Linked DNA regions of Caenorhabditis elegans. The protein of the gene in region 2 interacts with the protein of the main gene of each other region in a pairwise test. Each region holds a gene or a part of one and is shown on either strand. Other genes may lie near its edges.

What was found.
Region 1: the proteins of nhr-70 (region 2) and peb-1 interact in a two-hybrid assay, tested with the Caenorhabditis elegans proteins (one large-scale study listed by BioGRID).
Region 3: the proteins of nhr-70 (region 2) and sem-2 interact in a two-hybrid assay, tested with the Caenorhabditis elegans proteins (one large-scale study listed by BioGRID).
Region 4: the proteins of nhr-70 (region 2) and ehn-3 interact in a two-hybrid assay, tested with the Caenorhabditis elegans proteins (one large-scale study listed by BioGRID).

Annotation. Positions count from the first base shown.
Region 1 is NC_003284.9:2,209,489-2,217,067, forward strand, and holds the start of peb-1 (FLYWCH-type zinc finger-containing protein peb-1), read left to right. Parts: upstream 1-1,562; coding exon 1,563-1,607; intron 1,608-2,753; exon of another isoform or gene 2,754-3,044; intron 3,045-3,969; exon of another isoform or gene 3,970-4,092; intron 4,093-4,147; exon of another isoform or gene 4,148-4,529; intron 4,530-4,746; exon of another isoform or gene 4,747-5,094; intron 5,095-5,317; exon of another isoform or gene 5,318-5,503; intron 5,504-5,741; exon of another isoform or gene 5,742-5,958; intron 5,959-6,141; coding exon 6,142-6,264; intron 6,265-6,331; exon of another isoform or gene 6,332-6,453; intron 6,454-6,462; coding exon 6,463-6,564; intron 6,565-6,619; coding exon 6,620-6,793; intron 6,794-7,150; exon of another isoform or gene 7,151-7,413; intron 7,414-7,579. UniProt on the Caenorhabditis elegans protein: Putative transcription factor. Binds to specific sequence motif 5'-[TC][AGT]TGCC[GA][AT]-3' in regulatory elements of target genes such as myosin myo-2. May modulate gene expression, perhaps acting in opposition to transcription factor pha-4.
Region 2 is NC_003283.11:18,614,842-18,620,751, reverse strand, and holds nhr-70 (Nuclear Hormone Receptor family), read right to left. Parts: upstream 4,166-5,910; 5' UTR 4,144-4,165; coding exon 4,058-4,143; intron 3,980-4,057; coding exon 3,894-3,979; intron 3,847-3,893; coding exon 3,781-3,846; intron 3,445-3,780; coding exon 3,197-3,444; intron 2,610-3,196; coding exon 2,484-2,609; intron 2,430-2,483; coding exon 2,360-2,429; intron 2,299-2,359; coding exon 2,068-2,298; intron 2,019-2,067; coding exon 1,864-2,018; intron 811-1,863; coding exon 709-810; 3' UTR 540-708; downstream 1-539. Other genes in the region: Y69H2.1 (Serpentine Receptor, class V), read left to right, coding at 1-48, 98-217, 334-539.
Region 3 is NC_003279.8:5,204,019-5,210,066, forward strand, and holds sem-2 (Transcription factor sem-2), read right to left. Parts: upstream 4,111-6,048; 5' UTR 4,104-4,110; coding exon 3,903-4,103; intron 3,566-3,902; coding exon 3,302-3,565; intron 2,783-3,301; coding exon 2,375-2,782; intron 2,327-2,374; coding exon 2,213-2,326; intron 1,519-2,212; coding exon 1,291-1,518; 3' UTR 512-1,290; downstream 1-511. UniProt on the Caenorhabditis elegans protein: Probable transcription factor required for embryogenesis, vulval development and cell fate specification of the postembryonic mesoderm (also known as the M lineage).
Region 4 is NC_003282.8:5,416,169-5,420,964, forward strand, and holds ehn-3 (Zinc finger protein ehn-3), read right to left. Parts: upstream 3,055-4,796; 5' UTR 3,028-3,054; coding exon 2,986-3,027; intron 2,754-2,985; coding exon 2,664-2,753; intron 2,295-2,663; exon of another isoform or gene 2,274-2,294; intron 2,001-2,273; exon of another isoform or gene 1,980-2,000; intron 1,887-1,979; coding exon 1,662-1,886; intron 1,319-1,661; exon of another isoform or gene 1,298-1,318; intron 1,268-1,297; coding exon 1,139-1,267; intron 1,091-1,138; coding exon 953-1,090; intron 903-952; coding exon 738-902; 3' UTR 531-737; downstream 1-530. UniProt on the Caenorhabditis elegans protein: Together with the zinc finger protein ztf-16, plays a role in gonadogenesis, specifically in somatic gonad precursor cell development. This is possibly by regulating tra-1 gene expression.

The DNA.
Region 1 (7,579 bases), on a different chromosome or scaffold from region 2:
TGAGATTATATCTCGATTATACAAATCACTTGCTCCGGGTTTTTTTCTCTAGATTTCCATCGGTTTTGGGACTGCACTGGAGATTTTTGGATGAACATGTGAAAATTTTTTAAATAATGCACAGGCCGAACAGTCACACTTTGAAAATAAATTGATGTGATCTATGCAGATAGTTGCAAATTTCAAAAAACTCTACCCCTGAACACTGTCATTCTGCCATGCCATAATTTAGTTCAGTCGGATGAATGACCTTTCGTTGGCCAATTGGATGCGAAACACTGGACGGCACCGAATCGGCACGGCAAGTGGTACTGACAAGCGACAACAAAGACGGATAGACCATCAGTTAAATCAAGATAAGAATTGCTTGTGAACTTTTTCAGATATCGCATTAGGTCGAGAAGTTAATCAAATCATTGCTTTTTGAAGACATCACTGAAAGTGCCAATATTTTAGTAATTGATATTTACACAAGGGACCCCACTGAACTCATCAATTTTAAAATGTGATTTCCAGTTGATGTAAGCAACCAAGAAAAAGGCATATTACTTCAGGTTTTTTGCACTTTTATTTTCCAATCTCACAAATGTGGGCGTATGATGAGCGGCACACTCACGCATCCAAAAGTTTGCCGGATTCATAAAGTAGTATAGAAGTGTCTCACGAGCGTGGAGGGTGGCGCTGGCCCGAAAAAAAAATACGCTGAGACTGTATTGGAAAAGTTTAATCACGTATTTCGCTCGACTCGTCATTTATTTGAGCCTTAGTTTGTGTCTCGCCGTTTTTGGTTTTCCGCCTCTCCCTCATTCCCCCCGGTCTATTCCGAATTTGCCGCGACCCATCACAGGTCACGAACTTTAGTGCCCGCACGCCGCGTTTTGTATCTGCCTGCGCATCTACACGCTGACATACTATTTGTTTGATCCGCGCGGAACTGCCACAAACAACAACAATCTGCGTCCGGCGAAGACGTCGTCACCATATACCCATCTATTGCATCCAACTCATCTCTTTCTTGTATTTAATTCCTTTTTCACACACCCACACACACACACACCACACCACAGGTTGCAAACCATTGTATAATTTTCTGAAAAGCACTGTAACCAATTAGAAAACGATTTTTCAAAAGTGGAGCAGTGCTACATATATGATACCAAAATAATCAAATTTTGTATTAAAACTTTTAAAAAGTCAAAAAAAATCGTTTGAAATGTTTTTTTTACTGACAGTCAAAAAGTGGAAATTTTTAGAGTTTATGCCTCGAACAAAAACTGAGATTTTTCCAATTTCCAATTCCAGTTTGACACACATAGTGCAACTCCAATTGCTCATTATTTTATTAGTTTATTCTTACAACCATCACCCTTTTCCCAGATGTATTTCGTACCATGATGTGTGTATGTGTGTGTGTTAAAAGGTCATTTCAAGCTCTTCGTGAAAGGCACCCTGCTCAGTTTGTGCCCTGTTATGATCAATATAAATGTGTACTTTATTCCAGGGCAACGAAACGAGTAAACACCGAGAAAAGGAAGCATTCTGGATATTCCAAACTGGGGCTGATGATGACAACAACAGTTCAAAAAAATTGCTGGCGGCTTGACCAGGTGAGTGACCAGTTAGATTTGTTCAGCGACAGGCGTTTTCAGTCGGTGGTTTGAGTTTGCACAACTGTTTTCTTGTCCTTTGCGTGAGCCAAGGGGTTTGTGCTGAGTTACCCTCTATCTATTTGTCAGAATACGATGTGATGATCAAAACTTTAACATCATGCATTTTCTTGAGATCCATAAACCCCCCCCCCCCCCCCTCTCGTGTGCTTCTCTGTTTCTCGGTTTGTTCTCCTATTCACCCCGTTCGTTTCAGTGACGTGTCGTCGTTTGTTTCTGCCTGCCAAATATGGCTACGGGGGGGAATATGAATTAAATTGACTTGGTATCTATCATTCCATTTTTATTTTCTGGGAGATGTCAAGAAATTTTGGAGACGAGCGGTTTTTAAAATTAATGTAGTTTTTTTTGTTGTGTTCTCACATTTTAGTTTTCTAATCGGGGAAATGTTGGAGTAAATTGTAATTGATAGGTACACATTTACTTATCAATGGTTCACAGTTTCAGTTAATTATCAGTATTCATATGCGTTTTTATCTTTTGTATAATTTTAACATTCTACATTTTGCAACCAAAAAGCTCTCTATGTTTCTCCTTTACGGGCGGAAAGTAGTGCTGGCTTGTACCATTGCCAATCAGCTCTTTGATTAAAAAACCAACATATCAGTTGACAGTACCATTTTGCCCCTGCTCGACTTCAATGGGCCGCGCCAGATGAGTCAGCGACCTTTGCACACGAGCCCGGACAGTGCTAGGCGCCGGGGCATGACCAATGCGCGAAAGTTTTGTTGCGTAACCGCATGTTTATTGTCCGCTTGCCAATCGTTTTCACTTTTAGTGATACTTGCAGCTCGCCCTCGTCGTTATATTTTTTTTCTGACCGTCGACGCTTGCTTGCCTTCTCCGAAAAGTTTTGATATAAAACTAGCAGTATTTTTCGTTCTGTGGCTCATAGTTTCTGACGTCTTCCTCTTTATGACTTTACGCGGAAGAAAAGGGCAACATCTAAAACCACCCAGTAATATAAAGTGCGCGGTTTCGAGGGAACAGTTTCGAGAGAAAGATTAAGTAGATGAAGGCAGAGAGAACCAACATTTGCAAATATAGTACTAGGTTGGAGGAGTGCCTCGGCGCTGCGATGCCTGTCTACAAGTTTGCACTTGGCTGGTCAGTGGCGTTACGTGCCACTCTCTGTACTGCGCGAGACGTGGCCAAACTGATGCGAAGCACAATATATACACGCCCCGAAGGGTCATTGTTTGCCGTTTGCCCCCCCCCCCCTTTGCGGAAAGGCCTTTCGTACTGTACTCTTGATGTGTGCTTCCTTCCGGCCGGGCACCCGCCACCGTGGTTGTCACAACTCGGATGGCTCCCACTTCCTCCACTGTCGAAACCGTTCGGACCGCCCATTTCCATTTTGGCTCACGCCGGGCTCTCGCACACATACTTTCCACACTTCTACTGTCAGTGGTGGCAACTGGAAGCACTCCATAGTTGACTAATGACCTTTCTAACCTTGTTCCCTGTACTAGAGCTATCAATTGTGTATCATTTCTCTTTTACACTATTTCATGTTTGAATTTTCGAACAGGGGGTCAATCTCTGAGGCAGGAAGGGTGGAGCACCAGTAACGCACTTTACTCGTTTTGCCTTGGCGCGTTCATTGTTCCATTTCACAATTTTTCTCCTAATTTTCTAGACCACTTCAGTTTTTAGAAGCGCTAGATGTTGTTTCATGAAGTGACCAGTCTTGCGTGTTCAGTTTTTTTCTTGGCGTAAATGCCCACTCTTCTTCTTTTCTCCTAGCTGCCCCTTCTTCACTTTCTCCAAATCAAGGTTCAGCTATAGAAAGTAAAATCGCCTTTCACTCATCCTGGACAAGATTGACTACGAGCTTTTGCAGCTTCTAAGACTTCTTCGAGAATGGGGGGGGGGGGGGGGGGGGCGCGACGTGAAAATGAAGGGCATTCATGGATCCCGTAGTAAATATGTGATATCATCTATACCAATTTTCTGGATATCGAACTAATCATTGACGATTGCAAAATTTCGAAAAATTTGTAGGAGAGAAACGATTTCATCTGACCGATCCGAGACTGGCACCCCTTTGTTCTAGGCCCTCTCCCGATTGCCATAGAGATGTCCATCCATCACCTTTCCTGACAACCCCAGATGGTGGCGTATGTGTATGTGTGTGTTTTTTGACTAATTGGAAACGAAAAGCCGACTCCAGACTTGTAATTTTGCTCCAGCAATGTTTTTTTTCCAGATCTTTTCAAATTGACGAATCTGCCTTTAAACGTTTCGTGATAGACATAGAAATTGACATCCGGTCAAATAATTAGATGAAAAAACCTTCCATATTGGGGGCAAAACGTCCAAGTGAGAGTGGATCGGCGACTGGCGCCAAATTGCTGCTGCCGACGCAGTTACCATACTTGGATGTCGGACAAGGCGGATTTCGAGAGTTGTTTTTATGTACACACGCCTTTCACCTCTTTGCCCCTTGTGATCTTTTTTGCATTCGTTAGACGCTTCTTTCATTTTCGTTCCTCATCACCATCATCATCCACTACTAATGGTTCAGGGCACGGCGTATGCGCGCGCGTGCCTCACACCATCGGATCGCGGATGTTTTGGCGGGGTTGGCTGTTCATTTAGGGGGGAGGCGGCCGATTGAAATGAAGAAGATGTTGTGGATGTAGAAGTAGGAGGAGATGGAGGAGGCAAAGGCCTTCTCCCTCGCGGTTCTTCGTGGCAGGCAGCCTGACCCCGTTCCTTACTGAACCGCCCCCCCCCCCCCCCTCTCACTTCCACCCGACGCCGCCATCGGAATTTTAGACTACCAGTAGAATATGGATAGCGGAAGGTGTGAAACTTCAGACTGCGATTCTCTAGATTCACGCTTACTGTATTTCTACCTTACTACTAGTCTTGTTACGATTACCTTCCTAATTTTAACGTTTGATATGTTTTCACCTTCGGCTTCTATACAATTCCCATCATCTTGAAATAGGTATTATCAGCATGTAAGCATGCCAAACAAATATTTTTGTTGTCCAGTGGTGCTCGACCGTTCCAGGATCGGTATTATGCAATTTTTCGCTGAACCAAGCATATACATACTGATAAGAAAAATGTTTGTTCTGTCGGCCACTGATTACTAGACACTTGAATTCTGACCGCCATAAATGGCGAATCGTACGCGAGAAGTGCTGACGCCGTCTTGCGCCGATGTCCAATAGGACCTTGCACTTTGCCGATGTTGCAACAGTAATAGTTTCCATCAAGGTTATGCGGACTAGTGCCACGCGATTGGGTCAAGCCGTTGGCTTCCGCCTTTCTTATCAAAATCTTCGCCCTCAATTACCTAATTTTGTGGTTTTTTTTTTCTCTCCCGAATCCATCAATCCGGTGTCAATCCGTGTCTTCCGCGCTAGGTCATGCGGGCGGCGACGGCGCGGCCCTTTTTTCGGTAATCGTCCTGGCATCCCACACTTTCCATTGGCCCGGATATAATAACTTTTTGGAGACCCCCTTTCTGGTGCCTATTTGCAAAACTTGCTTCATTTTTGGTCACTTTTACTCGAACTTTCTCTTCGACGATGACCCCCTCGCCCGCCACAAAAACAAAAAGTGAAACTTGGAACGGTACTCGTTATACCTCATGCCTTTACTTTCTCGCGCCACTTCCTCGCAGTATTCCATGGATGGAAAAGCGGTCAAAAAAGTATTATGATCAGGCTGGCGGAAGATAGATGGAAGGAATTGTGGGTCAACGAAGTCAAAACACCATTACTCGATAAAAGTCGCCGCATGTTGCGGAATGTGTGCCATCGAAACTGGTTACTGTATTTCTTTTCCGAGAATTTTGCTTTGCCCCGCTATCAACTTTTTGTTCTATCTTCTTTAGAAATTCCGAATTAAATAATGATAATCATATACTTCTGTATTCTTTTTAACCCTTCTTTAGTCTGTTTTTGAAATTTCGACCAACCACCTCAACAAAATTTACCAAAATCAAAAAAAAAAGTGAATGTGTCAATCTCGTTTCAACGCATGTTTCTCGCCAATTTCCGTACAGTCAGTTGTGCCTCCTGCCGGTCACTCATCCTCTATCTCTTCGCCACTCTCGTTCTCGCGCACCTCATCCAAATAACAGTATTCGGTGTCTTAGTTGGCAGCCGGTTGGTGCCTGCCACGATAGGTTATCAGTTCAAATGGCACGCGCCTCTCTCGACTGCCCCATCAGCTGATTTGTCCGCCCCAAGCAACTGATAGTGCCTGGGGCGGAGAGATAGATGAGAAAAAATCGTCTGATTCTAGGTGTCTGAACCTCGCTCGCTATCCAACAGCAGGTCCGCTCGTTTTTTTTGTCACATCTCTCTTCGTTGGTCATATCTCTTTTTCATCATCTGTCTAGTTTGAGTTCAATTTCTAATTCATCAGAGGTCATTTGGTTATTATTATTCTATTGCTCCCATCGCTATTTTTTTTTGCTCATTTGATTTAACACATCAATTTTCCTTTTCAGACAATGCTGGGTCTTGAAAAGCCTGGATCATCAGACATTTCGTCTTCTTCCACTGATACTTCCGCCATTTCTCCGATTAGCGTGAGCAGTATGCCACTATCACCGGACAAGGAAAAGAAAAAGGTAAGTACTTTGAGATAACTGTTTGGACTGTCCGAAGGGCAAACATAGTTTTGAAAGAGAACGTTTGCATAGTTGACCGGTGTTTGTTCAGACGGAAAATTTAGGGCTTCCTTCCCACACGAATTTCAAAACAACCTGACACCGGGAAACACCGCCTTAACTGGCGATTTTGGGCCGATAATAATAGTTTTTTTTCAGATCTCATTTGTCCGATACAATCCAGACATTCCACAAATTGTCACATCTTTCAAAGGATATCAAAAACTTATGTATCAAGGCTACCGATATAATATTTATCAGGTATCATAGACCATCATTCAAGTGGTGACTTTCATCACGAGTTGTTTTTTTTCAGATTGCTCCAGAACGTAACTTCAAGTCTTGGAGATGCGTTTGCGCTAAGAAAATGCATGATGGGCAGTGGTGCAAATGCCGAGCTGAAACAACCATGGATAATAAAAACGCATGCACGAAAGGATCACACAATCACCCTCCAAGACACCATGTCGCTGAGATCGAATTTATCAAGGTACGTGGCGAGATTACACAGTCACAACTGTCTAGGTTAAGAGCTAGTGCCCTTTGCAATTGGCGCAGTGCCAGATCAGAGCACCGATATCATAAGGTTGAATTTGCCAGCTGACTCTTTTTGTTCCAATTGGTTCCTAGGCTTGGCGCCTTCAAGTTCGAATTTCATAACGTCATGTGGAACCTCTAGCTTTTGAGAGTGTCTAAGGGAATTGTGTGTACGTGCAAAAAAGATAACTTTTTTTTATTTCGTAACCCTTAAAAATTCACTTCATGGCACCAGTAGATGGAAAAAAAAGATCGTCGGCCCTTTTCGAGTGTGTCAAAAATAGTTTGTGTATACAAGTTAAAAGTGCAACGAGATGCGCTACTTTCGGCGCTGGGTGGCGCCGCCGAGTGCCTAGGTCAGTTGCGATGTTGGTCAGGTCAAATAAAACAATCTGAGCGTGGCACGGTTCGAAACATCGGCCACTCATGCGCGTGCCGCAATTTTGCCCCCCTCCTCCCTCCCATGTTGATGAACCGCGAATAATTCGCAAACAGATCCGCGCATTGCCAAGGTCAAGCCATGGATGGCAGGCACGCGGCAGCGCGCGCGGGGACAGGCTGGGCCATACCACCCGACTCGTTAACCTAGATGCGCCAATTTTCCCAAATCTATTGCGTCGCTGCCATTCAAATTGACGGTACAAACTTTTTGCGAATTCTTCCGAATTGGGTCATCGGAAGGGTCAATTCTGACGCAATGTAAAGTGCATCGAATTTCAAATCCTGATTCGACCTTTGT
Region 2 (5,910 bases):
ATTTCACGCTGGTTATCGTGCAAGTTATCGATAAGTTCTTGTTTAAAAGTGGGATTTTTTGGGGGTTTTTTTTTTGAAATTTCCGCCGAATTTTCAGAGTGTACATCTACAAAGCACCTGTCTCTCAATTATTCTTTTGTGATTTTATTGCAAAGTGTCACTGAATTTATATTGTCATTTCCGCTAACAATGCGGCAGTGGAAAGTACTCCTGGCAGGTGGGAAAATTAAAAAAAAAATTTCAAAAAAAAAAAAAATTTTTCAACAATTTTTTCCGCTATTTTTTCCGCTATTTTTTTTTGCTAAAAAACGACACAATTTTTCAATTTTTCAGGTATCCGTTCAGTTAACTATTTCTGCGCCTACGGGTACATGTTCTCGTTCTCCTGCATTTTTATGGTGCCACTGGTCAGTATGATGTGCATTCCGCCGATTAGGAGGGCATTTTTAGATTTTTTCACGTGTAGTGGATTGAAAAAACCAGCAATTGCAATTGTAGACAGAAGAAAATTCAAATTTGATAACGTTTATGAGAAATAAAATATTTGCAAAAAAAAAAACAAATCAAATCAAATCACAAAGTTAATTTCTACAACAATAAAAAACTAGATTTTGATCACAGTTTCAGGCACATTTTTTGACTTTTTTTTCAGGATTATATACAATTTAAAAAAATTCTTGGCATTTTTTTTCTGTAGGTAGTACTGTATTAGAATCGGCCATTACACATTTCGTAGAACTTCGCGTCCACTGAGTAGACATTGAAGACGTGTGAAATTTCTACGTCTTCCTGGAATCGGCGGGTGGCTCTCTGAAAACAGATTGAACTGAAATTTGCACAATTTTGAGCATTTTTGGTAGTTTTTGAGAATTTTGCCCGTATAGCGCAGTGGAATGTTCCGATCAAAAGACTTTTTGCACAAGCTTCGAAGCTTCTCAATTTGAAAATTCCGTAGGGAAATCCGTAAATTTTAACGCGTTTGGCAACTAGAATTGCGTCAAGGCATAGAGTCAAGGCACTAGAACTGCGTCAAGGCACTAGAATTGGGCCAAAGCACAAGAATTGCGTCAAGGCACTAGAACTGCGTCAAGGCACTAGAATTGCGCCAAGGCACAAGAATTGCGTCAAGGCACTAGAAATGCGTCAAGGCACTAGAACTGCGTCAAGGCACTAGAATTGCGCCAAGGCACAAGAAATGCGTCAAGGCACTAGAAATGCGTCAAGGCACTAGAAATGCGTCAAGGCACTAGAATTGCGTCAAGGCACTAGAATTGCGTCCAGTCACTAGAATTGCGCCAAGGCACAAGAATTGCGTCAAGGCACTAGAAATGCGTCAAGGCACAAGAATTGCGTCAAGACACTAGAAATGCGTAAAGGCACAAGAATTGCGTCAAGGCACTAGAATTGCGTCAAGGCACTAGAAATGCGTCAAGGCACTAGAAATGCGTCAAGGCACTAGAATTGCGTCAATACACTATAATTGCGTCAAGGCACAAGAATTGCGCCAAGGCACTAGAAATGCGTCAAGACACTATAATTGAGTCAAGGCACAAGAATTGCGCCAAGGCACTAGAAATGCGTCAAGGCACTAGAATTGCGTCAAAGCACTAGAAATGCGTCAAGGCACAAAAATTTTGCCAAAGGTCAATGCTCATTTCAAAAACATACACCCAAAATTTCATAGCTCTACGACCATTTTGAGCAAAGTTACAGCTTTTCAAAGTTCCAACGTCGACCGCGACGCGACACGCGACGCATGGTGAAAACTTTGAAGACGCGTAACTTTGCTCACATTTGTGCTACAGGTCTGAAATTTTTTGTGGCCGCTTAGATTTTTTTTTCCTTTACAATTTCAAAACTCACCTGCAACGCTGGCAACAAAGACAGTAAATTCGCCAGCCTCATCGACGGGTCCTCAATATGTCTCACATTCCGATAGTGGTACAGTATCTCTCGCTGAATCGCCTCTCGAATTCGTCGCGAGACCCGAATACACTCCTCAGATTGTCCTTCCAGGCCTAAAATACTTATTATCAGCTAAACTTATCCCAAAAAAAAAAACGTTACCAGTATCAAATAAAACCAATGAGCAAAGCGCGAAAAACTCAAAACTGTCCACATTATCCCGGAGCATCGGATCTGTGACATTTCGCCGGTAAATACTGAAACTCGATGCAAACATTCTGACTGCATCCTCTGAAGACATGAGCTGGCGGCCGTCTGGGTCGTAGTAGAACGTCTCCGGGTGCGAGCAGTCGATGTAGTCACCTGACGCTAGAATTATGACGTCACTACGGTCTGAAATTGTAAATTGAAAAACAGTTTTCAAATTTTCAACAAAAAAAAACCAAAAACTTACTATGAATACACGCAAAATGACCGCCCTGGAGAATCACGAATGGCAAGAAAAAATTGCGGAACAAAATTATCTGAAAATATTGAATTCTTTCGATAAAACTGAAATTTCAGGCTTTCCGGCCTACTTTCTGATCTTTGTGTAAATCTGCGAATCCGGGGTACGAGTTGAGAATCCAGTCGGCCACCAGATCACATTCCTTCGAGCTGACAATATTCGCCTCTTTGTAGCTCACCGCTTTTGGGGTTCGCATCTGGAAAAAAAAAATTGAATTTTACGTAGCTCAGTAAATCTACATCAAAAACTCCTGTAAATCTACATGAACTTTTGTAAATCTACATCAACGGCTCCGTAAATCTACACTGACTCACGTAAATCTACACGGACTGCTGTAAAAAATCTGCACTGAAAACTCTCGTAAATCTACACTAAAAACGCTCGTAAATCCACATTAAAAGTTCCCGTAAAGTTACACGAACTCTCGTATATTCACATCAGAAGATTCCGTAAATCTACACTAACTTTCGTAACTATACATCAAAAGCCCCCATAAATCTACACTGACTCCTGTAAACCTACATTAAATACTCTCGTAAATCTTCACTAACTCTCGTAAACCTACATAAAAACTCCCGTAAATCTACACTGACACCTGTAAACCTACACTAAAAACTCTCGTAAATCCACACCAACTCTCGTAAATCTACACTAAAAGCTCCCGTAAATCTACAATAACTCACGTAAACCTACACGAAAAACTCCCTAAATCTACACAAGCTTATGTACAAATTCACATGAAAAACTCCAAATTTTTTCATTTTTTTTTTCAGATAACTGTACCTGAAACACACTGCTGCCCTGATCGTGATGTACGACGCGGCGGACACTTTGCAGTTTTTCGTAATTCTGGCTCAACATGGTCAAAATTGGCATTCCGCATTCCTCGACACTGTCGAACGTGGAATTCGGGTTGAAACCACCAGGAGGGCCAAATCCGTCGCCTTGATTCGGAAGTGAAACTGATGAGCTGCCCGGCGATTCGACGTCAGAGCCACGTTTTCCGTAAGCGTCACGGTATTTTTGAACGGCTGAAAAAATAAAATTAGATTATAAATATAAGAAAAATTATCCCATATCTACACAAGCATCCGTAAATCTACACCAGCTTCCGTAAATCTACAGGAAACATTTCTGTAAATCTACACAAGCTTCCGTAAGTTTATGAAAGCTTTCGTAAATCTACAAAACACTCCCGTAAATTTACAAAAATTTCCGTAAATTACACAGACTCCCGTAAATCTACACAAGCTGTTGCAATTCAAATTTTTCGATTTTTTAGGAATAATTTTCGAATTTTAGATTACTTTTTCTAATTTTCTAAACAATTTTTTGGTGAAAATTTCAGAAATTGGCTTAAAACTCACCTTCTCGCTTCATCCCAACTGCCATACATTTTGCAAATCGACAAGCTCGGCACATGCATCTGATAGCTGAAATTTTGGCTAAAAATCGATAGTTTTCACGGAAAACGGCCTACTTGAAAGAATATCACAATTTCCATCTCCACGGCATCTGTACAATTTGTTGAGGGCAACTGAACGGCGGAAAAATGCTGCGCAGGCTCTGAAAATTATTGAAATTTTTGAAAAAAAAATGCACGTTTTTTCGGCTGAAATCTTTGAAAATTTGGCAGCAGCTTACCGACAGGCTTCTGCTCCAAAATGCACACCATTACCAACTTCTCCACAAATACTGCACGGCGGCTTCTCGCCTCGTCCAGCAGACATTTTTTTTGCTGAAAAACTAAAATTCGTTGAAAATAAGGCAATAAATAAGGTACAAATTGAGTAAAAACTGAAGCTTGTAAAAGTTAAAAAAAATTATTTAGTTGAATTTCTCCAAAAATTAGAAATTTCCAAAAATTTGAAAAATTCAAAAAACTTGGAATTTTTGGCTTAGGCTTCAGGCTTAGGTTTAGGTTTAGGTTTAGGCTTAGGCTAAGGCTTAGACCTAGATTTAGGCTTAGGCTTAGGCTTAGACGTCGGCTAATTCTTAAACTTAGGGTTAGGCTTAGGATTAGGCTTAGGCTTAGTCTTAGGTATAGGCTTAGGCTTATGCTTACAAGGGAAGTCTTTGAGGGGGTCCGTAGATTTGGGGTTCTCATGCTAAAATTCCTACAGAAGAGTGTTAGTTATATATATAGTTATAAACTTTTTGATACCAGCTACAAAGAAGAAAACAAGGTTGGCATTTGGCTAGTTTTTCTATTAACATTGTGTTTTGGAAAACGGTCACAACTTTTTGGTGGCTGAAGGTATCAAAAAGTTTATAACTAAAACTTTGTTTACTGTTATTCAACAAACATTTTGTTAGTTGATCATATTTCAAAATAATTTATCTCAACGAAGTTATGCAACTTCAAAGTTGGTTAAATATTTTGCACAAAGTTCGTGAGATGTAGATCATTTCGACGGTTTACTTGCGAATAGAGAGTTAAAACTTGTGTAATGTACGTTTCATACATTTCTAAACAACAGCATAGCAATTTCATAATTGTTTAGAAAAATGAAATTTTTTGATTTTTTTGCTTGGAGTTGATTAAGAAATTTTGAGCAAAAATGAAAAAAATAAAAATTTCCAAAAAGTGCGGACAATGATTCTAGGTTCCCGAATAAGAATAAAATCACTTTAAAAATGCGCAAAAATGTTTGAATGAGTTGTTTTACAACTTTATTCAACTTACAAAAATATTTCAAAAATAGAAGGTATCGAACCAAAGCTTAAATCTTATCAGACGCGCGCACTCCCAACTCGGCCACCGAAGACATTTTTCAACTCAATGTGGTGGGTGTCACATTTTCGGTGGTCACGCAGGCTGAGATTTGCGTGGATTGCATGGTAAGACAGTGGATTTCAATGGTGTTTTTAACTGAAATTTCAAAACGTCATAACTTTGCTGAAACTTGACCGGGGCAGCTAAATTTTTTGGAGAGATCATAACTAACACTCTTCTGTAGGAATTTTAGCATGAGAACCCCAAATCTACGGACCCCCTCAAAGACTTCCCTTGTTAGGCTTAGGCTTAGGCCTAAACTTTTTTTGGGCATTAAGCCTTCTTAAAAAATTCGAATTTCTAAAAATTTGAATTTTTTTCAAAAAGTATTTCAAAAATATGGATTTCGGAAGCTCGGAAAATTCGGAAAAAATGAAATTTTTTGCAAATTTGTAAATTTTGGAGTTTCAAAAAAATTGTAAAAATTTATAACATCACAAATTTGAAAGAAATTGAAAATTTTTAAACATTTTGAAGTTTCAAAAATCCATTTTAAGGATTTTTTCATTCAAAAACGAATTTTTCATTGAAAAAAGTAGTAATTTCTTATATATATTTGTCACAAATACAAGAAAAATGAAAATAAAAAAATGTTGGAAAAAAGAATTTGAAGAAAAAGAAAAAATGTTGGAAAAATGAAAATGATGCTTTCAAATGAAAAATTCTACAGAAAATAGTGCTCAAAAATACATGAAGCTCGCAAATTTAAAAAAAAACAAGT
Region 3 (6,048 bases), on a different chromosome or scaffold from region 2:
AAAAAAAGAGAAAAAGAAACATGCCGACAAGTTGAGGTTGTGAAGGACGGATGATAGAATGCACTATTTATTTGAAGGTTGTTTTTTTTTCAAAGCTGTTGGAGCCAAAAACAGGGTGTGACTTTTTAAAGCAGGTTTCAGAAAAGTGCCAAAATTCCGAGAATGACATTGCAAAAAAAAACAAGAGGTTCCAGAAAAGCGGCTTCCCGACTGCTCGGTTATTGCAGTATTCACGGAGCAATTGTTCTACCAGCACAAAAATTGATTTCAGGCCAGGATTGAACTGTTATGTTAAATTGTAATATGTCATACATATTTTACGAGACTGTTTACGAGACATTATTTAGGGAAGTTTTTTCAATTTGTGTCACACACTTGCCGCAGCTGCCAATAACTAATTAATAGTAGAAAATTGCTAGGTATTTACCTGAATTTTAATTTACAGAACAGAAAAAATTAATTAAACGTATATTATTTCCACAAATCTATGTATTTTGAAATCAAAAACAAGTTAATTTTTTAAATGATTTTTATTGCTCAGAAAAAGGAGACAAACATAAATCAATCAATAATAAATGAAATCAAGAGGAAGAAATTCATTCAATACTGAAAATTTGGAAAGATGAGTGAAAAAGGATAAGAGATATTTAGAGATGAACAAGAGAATAAATATTTCTTCAGGTTTGGGAAAAAGGGTAGCTACATTTGGCATATTGTAGAGGGCAGGGGATGGGGGGAAGTGTTCAACATATACAATCATAATTTCGTGCTTGAAATCTCAGAAATTTTTTTTTTCAAGTACAACGGCGAATTGGGTAATCGATGAAAGTTGAAAGAACGAATGAAAACTGGCTCGGTAAAGCTGGGAGAGGATAAAAATGGGTAAAGAAATGGGGACGATACTTTTGTAGAAGAATACTTTCAATTTGAAATTAGTGAATTACTTTTTGGATTTGTAGAAATACTCTTAGGGTTTCAAGAAATGAAAGAATACAATCGCTTGGATTTGTTGAGGAAATACTGGAAAACAAAGAGAAAAATACAGAAAAAGGTGGTAAATAACTAGAAAATGCTGGGGATTAAAAGGTACTAAGACCGGACTAAAGGGACACTCGAAAATTGTTGGAGAGAGATAAAGAGAGAATTGTTTCAGGGGAGAGGCTAGAATTGAGGTAGGAGCAGAAAATGTTGGGCTTTCAGAAGAAACAGTGAAAAAAAACATTTGGACGTAGCGATCTACTTACTACCCGAACTTTCAGAAGTTTTCAAAAAAAAACTTGTCTGAAATATTCAAGAAAAATTAATATCAATTCCCAATGCATCGCTCCATGGATAATTGACCAGCTCGCCTGTGGTTACAGTTGGACAAATCTGCTCCAGGTCATCCAAATGTGTTGTAGTCGTAGCGGCCGTAGCCATTGTGACGACTCCCGCCGAGTTTGGTGATGACGTTGATTGTTCAGAAGCACTACAGTCGGCGTATCCCGAAGATCCAGACGATAGACTACGCATGTCGTCCTGAAACTCATGAGTTTTGAACATTTCATGAGGATATTGTGCTGGTGGTGTTGAAGTTGGTGCTGGTGATGGTGCGAAGTGGTACATGTTATAAAGATTATGATTCTGAATCATTGGGTTAGGTATCTGAAGGAAAACAAGCGGTTATTAGGATGTTAAGCATGGATGCTGGGAAGGGATTGTAGTGGAAAATGGAGTACGGTAGGATTTACGCTAAAAGGACTAATAATATAAATTTTCAAAATCCAATGGCCAGTACTAAGAATTTTATGATTTAAATGTTTTTCAATATAAAAGATGAAATATCGACAATGTATTAGAAACTACTTAATCCACTTCAGAAAAATTCAAAAATTTTTGAACTTTTTTTAAAATTTACAGTCAACGGGTTTTAAGTACTAAACCTAAGTAAAAATTGAATCACAAGTAAGTGTTTCTATAAATTCTAAGGGCTCGAACAATTTCTCATAAAGTTAAATTTCTTCGGAAATTTGATAATTTGCAAAACTTTGATTGAAAATTTTGACAAATATAAAGTATTTTGAGTGATTAATTATTTTCTTTAAGATAAAATTCCCCACCTTTCAGAAAATAAAATTTGGCAATTTTCTAAATTTTTAGCCACTACATCCTACCGTACTCCCAAACAAAAAGTGCTTCAAACAAAATCTCATGCAAAAGAGACAACCCGTACCTGATCAACTGATGGTGGTGAAGTGTGCAAGTAGAAAGGATGATTACCAGCTCCAAATCCCGAATTATGCCCCATCATTTGTGGTGGCATTCCCATGTCCATACCAAGATTCGTCTGAAAATATTGAATTTTCCAAGCATTTCGTGATCTATAAAAACTAACCATTCTGAGGGGACTTCCTGCCGAATTATGATGTTGTGATGCAAAATGCTGTTGATGATGTTGCTGTGTAAAATAGTCATCATAAAATCCAGATTCAGGTGTCAACGGAGCATGTCCAAACTCGGAAGGTGATGGATACGATGGATGAAATGGCATCTTTTGTGCATGACTCATATGAGCATTTCCCATCCAATCTTGCTCCACTTTCACTGATTTAAAGTTTTGGAATTGTTGTGTTTCTGACTGTTGATCTGTGTTTGGACGTTTTCGTTGACGAGCCTGTGGTGATGCTCCACGTGGTGGGGCCTGTTGCTGTTGTGGAGCTTGGGGTTGAGCTGGCTGCTGAAGTGTTCCATCTGGATTCTTCTTTGGCTTCTTGCGTGGCTTGTATTTGTAGTCTGGATATTCCTGAAAAAATTTAAAATTACAATACAATTATTCGAAAAATCCGGTTACAGTATTTCCTGTGTGGCACAGAGGTAAGCTACTATTTGAATATTCTAAAATTTGATAATTTGGCAGTTGCCAAAAACGTCGAATATTTAAAAATTTCTGAGATTCGGAAAATCACCAAAAATAAAATATTGGAATTTTTAGTTTTTAATGAAAAGCTTATATTGTTTCACCTACCTCCTACACTGACTATAGTAGAAATTTGTTTTTCGTTCAAAATTCAAATTTTTTTTTCAAATTATTCTCTTTTTTTTTAACTTTTTTGAACTCGATAATTGTCGTATTTTTGAATTTCCGAAAATGCCGATTACGGAAAACTTTTGATTGGTATGAAGCCTCTATTATCAGCACAATACGTTTTGAAATTATTTAGTGAAAATACACTTGTTCAAAAATTATTACTGTATTTCTTACTTATATAGAAAATTCGGTATCAATATTGAATTGAATTAAACTATATTCTCCCATACTAACCTGCATATGACAAACTCTGAGTCTCTCAGCTTCAGCAACAAATGGAGCTTTTTCCTCATCAGTCAAACTTCTCCAACGACTTCCCAATTGCTTACTGATTTCTGCATTATGCATATCTGGCTGATGCTCACAAATCTTTCTCCGTTCCATTTGAGACCAAACCATAAAAGCGTTCATTGGTCGCTTGATGTGATTTGATGACTTTTTGCAATTTGTTGCATCCGAATACGGGGTCACTGATTTGGGAATCGCTTGTTGTGCATGCTGAAAATGTATGGATTTGTTTCAGAGCAATTTTTAATTTTTTGGTACTTCTAGGTTGAGAACATTTCTAAAAGTGCAAATGTCAAGTAACTGATAAGAAAAGAGTTTTCAAATTTGTTGCTCTTCCACTCTAGAAGTTTCAAAAAATAAGATAACAAGATGACCAGTGCAAAGTATCATGTTTTTTGTTTTTACTAAATTTATTACCTTGTTTACTAAAAAATTATTACAAAAAGGGCTGTGTCCACTTCCTGATGTCCTTTTGACAGCTTATCACTTATCAAAGTGTAAAGCCCATTGTTTCAATATTTACAACCAAAAAAACCGTATCACAAACCTTATAGCCTCCAGCTGCTGTCCCATATGGATGATGTTGTAATTGTTGTGACGTGGCAACCGAGTTAGACGATGTGGCATTTGTGGCTCCAGAAGTCGATGAGGCTACTGCAATTGCGGCCGCAGCCCAGTTAATCGGCGGCATCATATGCGGAGCCATTCCACAATCCAGCATGAAGTTGGGCGGTTTTTGGAGATCCATTTGATATCTGAAATAAAAAGTAATACGAAAAATAATATTGTTGAAACGGAAAGTGGAAAAATTAAAAGAGAAAGGTAAGAGAAAGTGAAATTCAGGAGACCGAATTTCGGCAGAAAATATAGGGAAAATCCAAAAAGAACGAGAGTTAGAGAGAATAAGAGATTCAAAGATGTCTACGATCCGTTTCCATGAGAGATTTCTACGAGGAGATAGACAAGGTGGCGTTCAGTGTATCTTTAGTACAGTATACTTTAGGATACAAGTATACGGTAGAATCTACCAAGAGTATACTTTTCCAAAAAGAAACGTAACCAACTATACAATTAGAAACTTTCAAGTAATAGTAAAGCAGGGTTCTAGTTGCCGGTCACTTGCTTACTGATAAGAGCCAGCACTGATAATTTTTTCCTGGAGAAAAGCTGGAACATGTGCAAAAGTATGGAAAAGGAGAGAGACGGCAAGAAAGGAAAAAATTCAAAATAAGAACTTAAATATCAACAATCATGACTACCACGATTCTAGCTGGATAAGTTAATTAGCAAATGACCGTAGGAGCTTAATCTATTCAATTTTTGATGATAAGCCTGACTGATTCTTCTTCGAGATGATCAGGTCAAACTGCCTTTCTGTCTCATTTTCATTTCTCTCTCTCTCTCTCGAGAAAAGGGATGTTGTACAACCCAATGACAAGAGTGATGACATAACAATACAACACAATAGAATAAGGGGGAGAAGCATCAGAAAACTGGTATTTTTAGAAAGGGGCAAAAACGAAGTAGGAGAATGAAGCAGAAGCTGTGTACTTCGAGAGTGCGGTAGTGAGGCTTCTCGCATGATGTAATGGTTTGACATTTGGTAATTGTAATTGGCATTGGCCAAACGAGATGATGTACTACTACTGTGTGTATATGTACGGTAGATTGGCATGTCATGAGAGAAATGGTTTGGAAATGGAAGTTTTCAGAGAGCAAAAGGTTTGACACATTTAGAGAGCATTCATCTTGGAAACCCAAGTACAGAAAGTGAAACAATACTATATAGAAAAGAATATCAAAAAGGGTGCCAAGAAAACAGAAATGAGAAAAACTAAATGGTAACAAGTATATCTTCCTCCTTACAACCACCGCCTCCCGTCCTGAAAAAGGCGTGTCTAGACCGCCTCTACGGCACTTTGCAAAGGACCACGAGGTGCCAAGTTATTTGCGGCAGAGTTCCGAAAGGAGGCAAGTAACTTGGTACATTGAGGTGGCTAGATTGCATGGGAAATTGGATAAACAAGAATTTTGGGATGAGTTAGACATGAAACTCAACTATTGAAATTCTGAATATAACAAAGATAATTGTATTTCCAATGAGAAATAAGCAAGGTATCTAGACAAACATAGATTTCTAATTCTAATAGATTCTTAAATGAACTGAAAAAAGGTGGCTTATATTTTTGATGCATACTTTGGTATTTTTTGGAACATTTCAAAATCTCTGACCGTGAAAAACCTTGCCATGTTCGATATCAAAAAAGTAACAACAAAATATTGGGTTAACTTTAACTGAAGAAACTCTCAAATATGCTTATTTCTAAAGAAAAGAGCTCCTAACTTTTGCCTACACAGTTAATTTGTCATGCTTTCAGCAGGTACCTCATAGACATTACGATGCACGATGTACAGATCGTCAACGAAGTCGGGCACTATATGCACATGGCGACTCTAAAACAGTCAAAATATGTGCCCAACGATATCGAAAGTTATGTGCAATTCTGCTAGACTAGCACACTCCAAACTAAAACCTATGATCAAGTGGTTACTTGATAACTACAGTAACCTTGATCCTTCTTCGAAACCAGCTTTTCCTTCTCCTCATCTCATTTAGCGTTCACTCTCGAATGAATCATGACTTCTGCCCCCTTACACCTTTCCTCCAAAAAAACTGTATTATGTAACTTTTT
Region 4 (4,796 bases), on a different chromosome or scaffold from region 2:
AGATGGGATATTAGCTTGAGAATTTTGAGAATTTTTTTGTTGATATTTTTATAAAAGAGGCAAAATTGTGAATAATATTTCAAGAGCAAAACTCTATAAATACATCAAACTTTAGAAAACTGTAAAATACTTTTTTCTTAATTTGTTTTATTATTAATGTTGGAGATGTAATAAAGTTTTCAATAAATCTCGGAAATTCAAAGTGTTATCACTCCTAGAGATGACTTTTTTAATTGGACACTTTGTGAAAATTATCTTCAGAGGAGCATTTTATACTAGAAAAATTGATCTCGCCGTTTTTTTTTAATTAGGCTTTTAAAATGCGAAAATCTTCATTGTCCTAAAATCAGGAGTAATGTTTTAAAATCTGTTGGTAGAAATTTGAAATTTCTTAATCTAAAACTCTTGGCATTTCCTCCTTAAAACTGCTCTCCTGAAGATAAAAATAATCAGCATAACTTTTGCAAAATTCGCATATCAATAATTTTTAGTAAATCTTTTGAAGTTTTCAGAAATAAAATCAACTACCATAATTGAGAAAATCATATTTCTAACTTTCAAATATATAAAACAATTAACAGAAACAAATGTAACAATTAATTCACACAAGAACAGAGTTAAGTATTTTAAAACATCCCAACAGAAGATGAGGAACATTATTGATAAGATTGATGCTGGTACTTAACAATAAATTGAACCATGCTATAACTTTGAAAAAGAATCGACATTTTTATATTTTAGAAGTTATGATTGGCGTAAACGAGATGAGCAGCAAAATCATATTTTCCATCGCATAGGCTTCCACAAAGTGAGCATTTGAACGGAATATCATCTGAGTGGAGTCCACTGTGCAAATACCACATCACTTTGTCATCGAATCTGATTTTACAGTAATCGCAGTACTGAAATAATTGTTTTTTTACAAAATACGTTTTTTCCCAGAGGTACATACCCAGCTCTCTGGACCATCCAACTCTTCTTCTTCGGGAGTTTCGATTTCCGTAGATGGTGTTGGAGACAACTCTTTTGCGGATTTTACAGATCTAGAGCACTGTGGCAATGGGGCTTGTGAAACAGTGCTATGAAGCGGCTGAAAATATTATGTTACCAGTTGAAAATTCAATTTCAAATTTCTTACAAAGAGTGGTGCGATTTCAGTTTTGAAAAAGTCAAAGATTCTATCAAAATCATCTGGATTCTTGATGGGGTTCAAGATTGAAGTAGTGGATTTTGGAAGAATTGGAGCAGGTTTGAAAGAGAAGAATTTCTGAAAACTAAGGAGATTTATATATATCTACCAAAATCCAATCTATACATAGTGCACGTCTGACTTTAGTAGAGATTTTGTAGAAATAGCGAAAAAGTATTTTGAAATTCAATTCAATTATGTGGAGAAGTTCGAGTATAGTGAATTCTATTTTAGATCAATTTTTCTAATGTTTTGAAGCTTTCAAGTATTTTCGATTGCAAGACCCAACGGTTTTCAAAATTTTACTTTTAGTCTCAAATGAAAAGTTTAGTCAACATTCGGCAAGAATCGGATCAAACGTAGGCTAAACTTAACACATCACAGCTATAACCTACTCGTAAGCAAGTAGCTGATGTAAAATCCAAATAAAAACAGTGTGTGCTTCAATTCTTCCACAGAAAAAAGTACTCACCGTATGATCCAGGTGTGCAGTATGAAAATGAAGCAGAAGACGATGGGAACTGTTGAACCATTTGATGCAAGATTTACATTTAGCTGGAGACGATCCTCTTATGATATGCTCCGAATCTACATGAAACTGCAAACTCGTGAAGCTGTTGAACTTTGAATTGCACGCTGTGATGGGACATTCAAAGGTATTTCCTTTCTTGATATGGGTCATCATGTGCTCTTTCATCTGAGTTGGATTAAAAGTTGAAGAGATTGTTTTCTAATCTGTTTAATGTTTCAAGAAATAATGCTTAATGCTTTATACTACTAGAAAGCTCGATCTTTCTCAAAGTATATTTGAAAATACAACTTTTCTTGCATAACTGAAACTTTCATATAAAAAACTGATGGTCAGATCTGGAAAAAGTAAACGACTTTTAACAATCTTAACTTTGTTTTCAATAAAAATATTTAAAACAAAGCTTTTAAATTTTCTCTAGCTAACAGTAAATTAAAGCCAACGTATCAGTACACATCCACAGAAAAATAATTCCCCTACATCATTTGGCATGCTGGGTGCTAATTCTCTTTTAATTTTTTAGTGCTTTGGCATTAAACATTTATTTTTGAACAGATTCGCAAATCACAGATACCAGTAATCGTAAATTGCATTCAGTGATTATTAAAAACATCATGAAACACATAATTAAAATTTTTGTGTCAATTTCTGAAAATCAATAACACAGATTGTTTCATTCTGCTTTAAATCTGATGTACGAGTGATAAATTGAGTCAACTTTTAGGAAGCTTTTTTCTAGCATTTTTTTTAACGTTTCGACAAAAAAATCGAGTTATTTGTAAGCGTTTGGAATAATTTCAAGTAATTAACTTTCGTAAAGTAGGTTACTTAGTGAATTTTTTTGGTCACTAGAGATAAAGCTTGTACTAAAACGACTAAACTTTATAAAGAAACTTCAATAAAATATCCTCTATACAAATTTATCGGAAAACCACAAGAACTAACCCGATCATTCCGAAAAAAAGGTCTTCTGCAGAACTGACATTCAAACTTCTTTTTTCCACTGTGCATCACCTTATGACGATTCAAGTTTGTCTGAAAAAATATACATGGAAATCAAAATTTTTCTACGATTTTAGTAACTTGTTTTTTGTTGCTTTTCGATTTGAACAATGTTGTAAATTGATAATTAAAAAGAAATTTTCTAAAGATTTGAGTCTTGCGTCTCAGTTTTTCAAGAGCCAAACAAGAAAGTAGTTTACGAAACCATAAGTAACCTGGTAGGCACTTTAGTTTCTACCTATAACCTTTAGTACTCTCCACTCACCTTATTGGAAAACTTCTGGTGACAAATATCGCATTTTTCCATTTTGTAATTTGGAAGCTGGGAGGAATAAAGTCAGAGAGTGTCAGAAAGTGACTATAGGATTTTCTATTCCAAACTTTGGGTGGAGCACAAATTGTTTATAACTTCTCGGGTACTGTCGAAGGTCATTTGGGGGAAATATACAATCCTAGGTGTCAGATATCTTAACAAGTCGGAGAAGAAGCACATCTTCCGACATAACAGATAAGCCGGCTGCCGCTACTTGCCAGATGGTTGGTGACAAACTGGGGTGATATATAGTCAGAGGTCACTTTCATGATTTGGAAGAGAAGGTAGCAAATATAGTGGACAAATTGATATTAAATTACAATTGGGGTCAATTTTAAGAACAGTTACAGTACTTTGGACTGTACGAGTAAAAAAATCCTTTTTTTTTTTTAGAATTAAATTTCCTGTTTCATAGAAAACATTTGTTTGACTGATTTTAAATGTTTCATTCGGTTTTTATTTATCTCTGTAAAGTCTTTTCATTATTGTTAGAATTCAGAATTTTTACAGATTCATGAATTCACTAAAATTTTATGAGTTTCAGGATTTGTTAGTTTCAACAATAGAATCCCCCATCTCCTGCAAAACCGCAAATCACGTGGCGAAAAAAAGCGTTTTGTTCATAGCGTAATGCTCTTCCTTCTTCCTAATACATTAACCATGGCACAAATCGAATAAATTAGCATAATGTGTCCAGGAAGAAGACGACATTGGAAGACGTTTCTGGAGAAAAAGGGAAAAAAGGAAATCAAGTTTTTTCTCTTTTACCTTGGATGTCTGTAATATAGGATTACATGCCGGAAGAAGGTGAAGAGTGCAAAAATATTAGTTTTTAATGGAAAATGCTTTCGATTTTAATGTCAGGAATCGAAGATTCTCCGTGATAAACTTCTGGAAATAATATTTATATTTTTAGTTATCGGCTTTTTGGTGTATGAGATCTGATTTATTCAGTATCCAAAGATAGCTGGAGAGGTCTTACTCAAGAAAATGTTTTCATTTATTTTCAAAAAAATATCACTGTTTCAACAAACCCTTAAAATCAAGCTATAAAAGGCAGAAATGTTTTCAATCGAGATAAATAGGCTCTGATATTTTTTCAGATCTGAAAAATAACTATGAGTTTGATGGAAAGAATGAATGCCATTTTTCAAATTGAACACGTTTCAAATAGTCCATAAAACAGTTAACAATTAATTAATTTTAATCGGGATCATGCTCGACCTCTAAACGTATTATTTCCAAAATTATCCGGTGAAGATTTAGATAAAATATTTAAAAATCCGTCACATTTTTTTCGCATTTTCCGAAAATTTCACAGTTTCAACATAGCTAGAAATTAAATGTATTTTAAATTCAAACTGATTGCAACGGAATTTTAAATGTGAAATATTCAAATGTTTTTAACGTCCAACAAAACCACTGTTTCCTCTGTTTACAGTTTCTAAAGTAGTCCAAAAACCGAAAAATGAAAAAGTTTTGATTTTATTCTCTACTTATTTTTTTGCTATTTTTCATCTTGTACCTTCTACATCATCACTAATTCTGTCTAATGCTCTTGTTGCTCTTCTTCTTCCTCTGCTCATGTTGTTACTTTTTCCTAATTCCCAGCTTTTTTCTCTCTGCTTACCAGTCTAAATAATAAAAATGAGAAATCATAAATACTAAGTTGAAACAAGATACTGCAAAAGTGATATGAAATTAGTTTTAGTGATGTAAATCTTTAACTGTTTCAATATCCTTGTAACTACAGTATACTATAG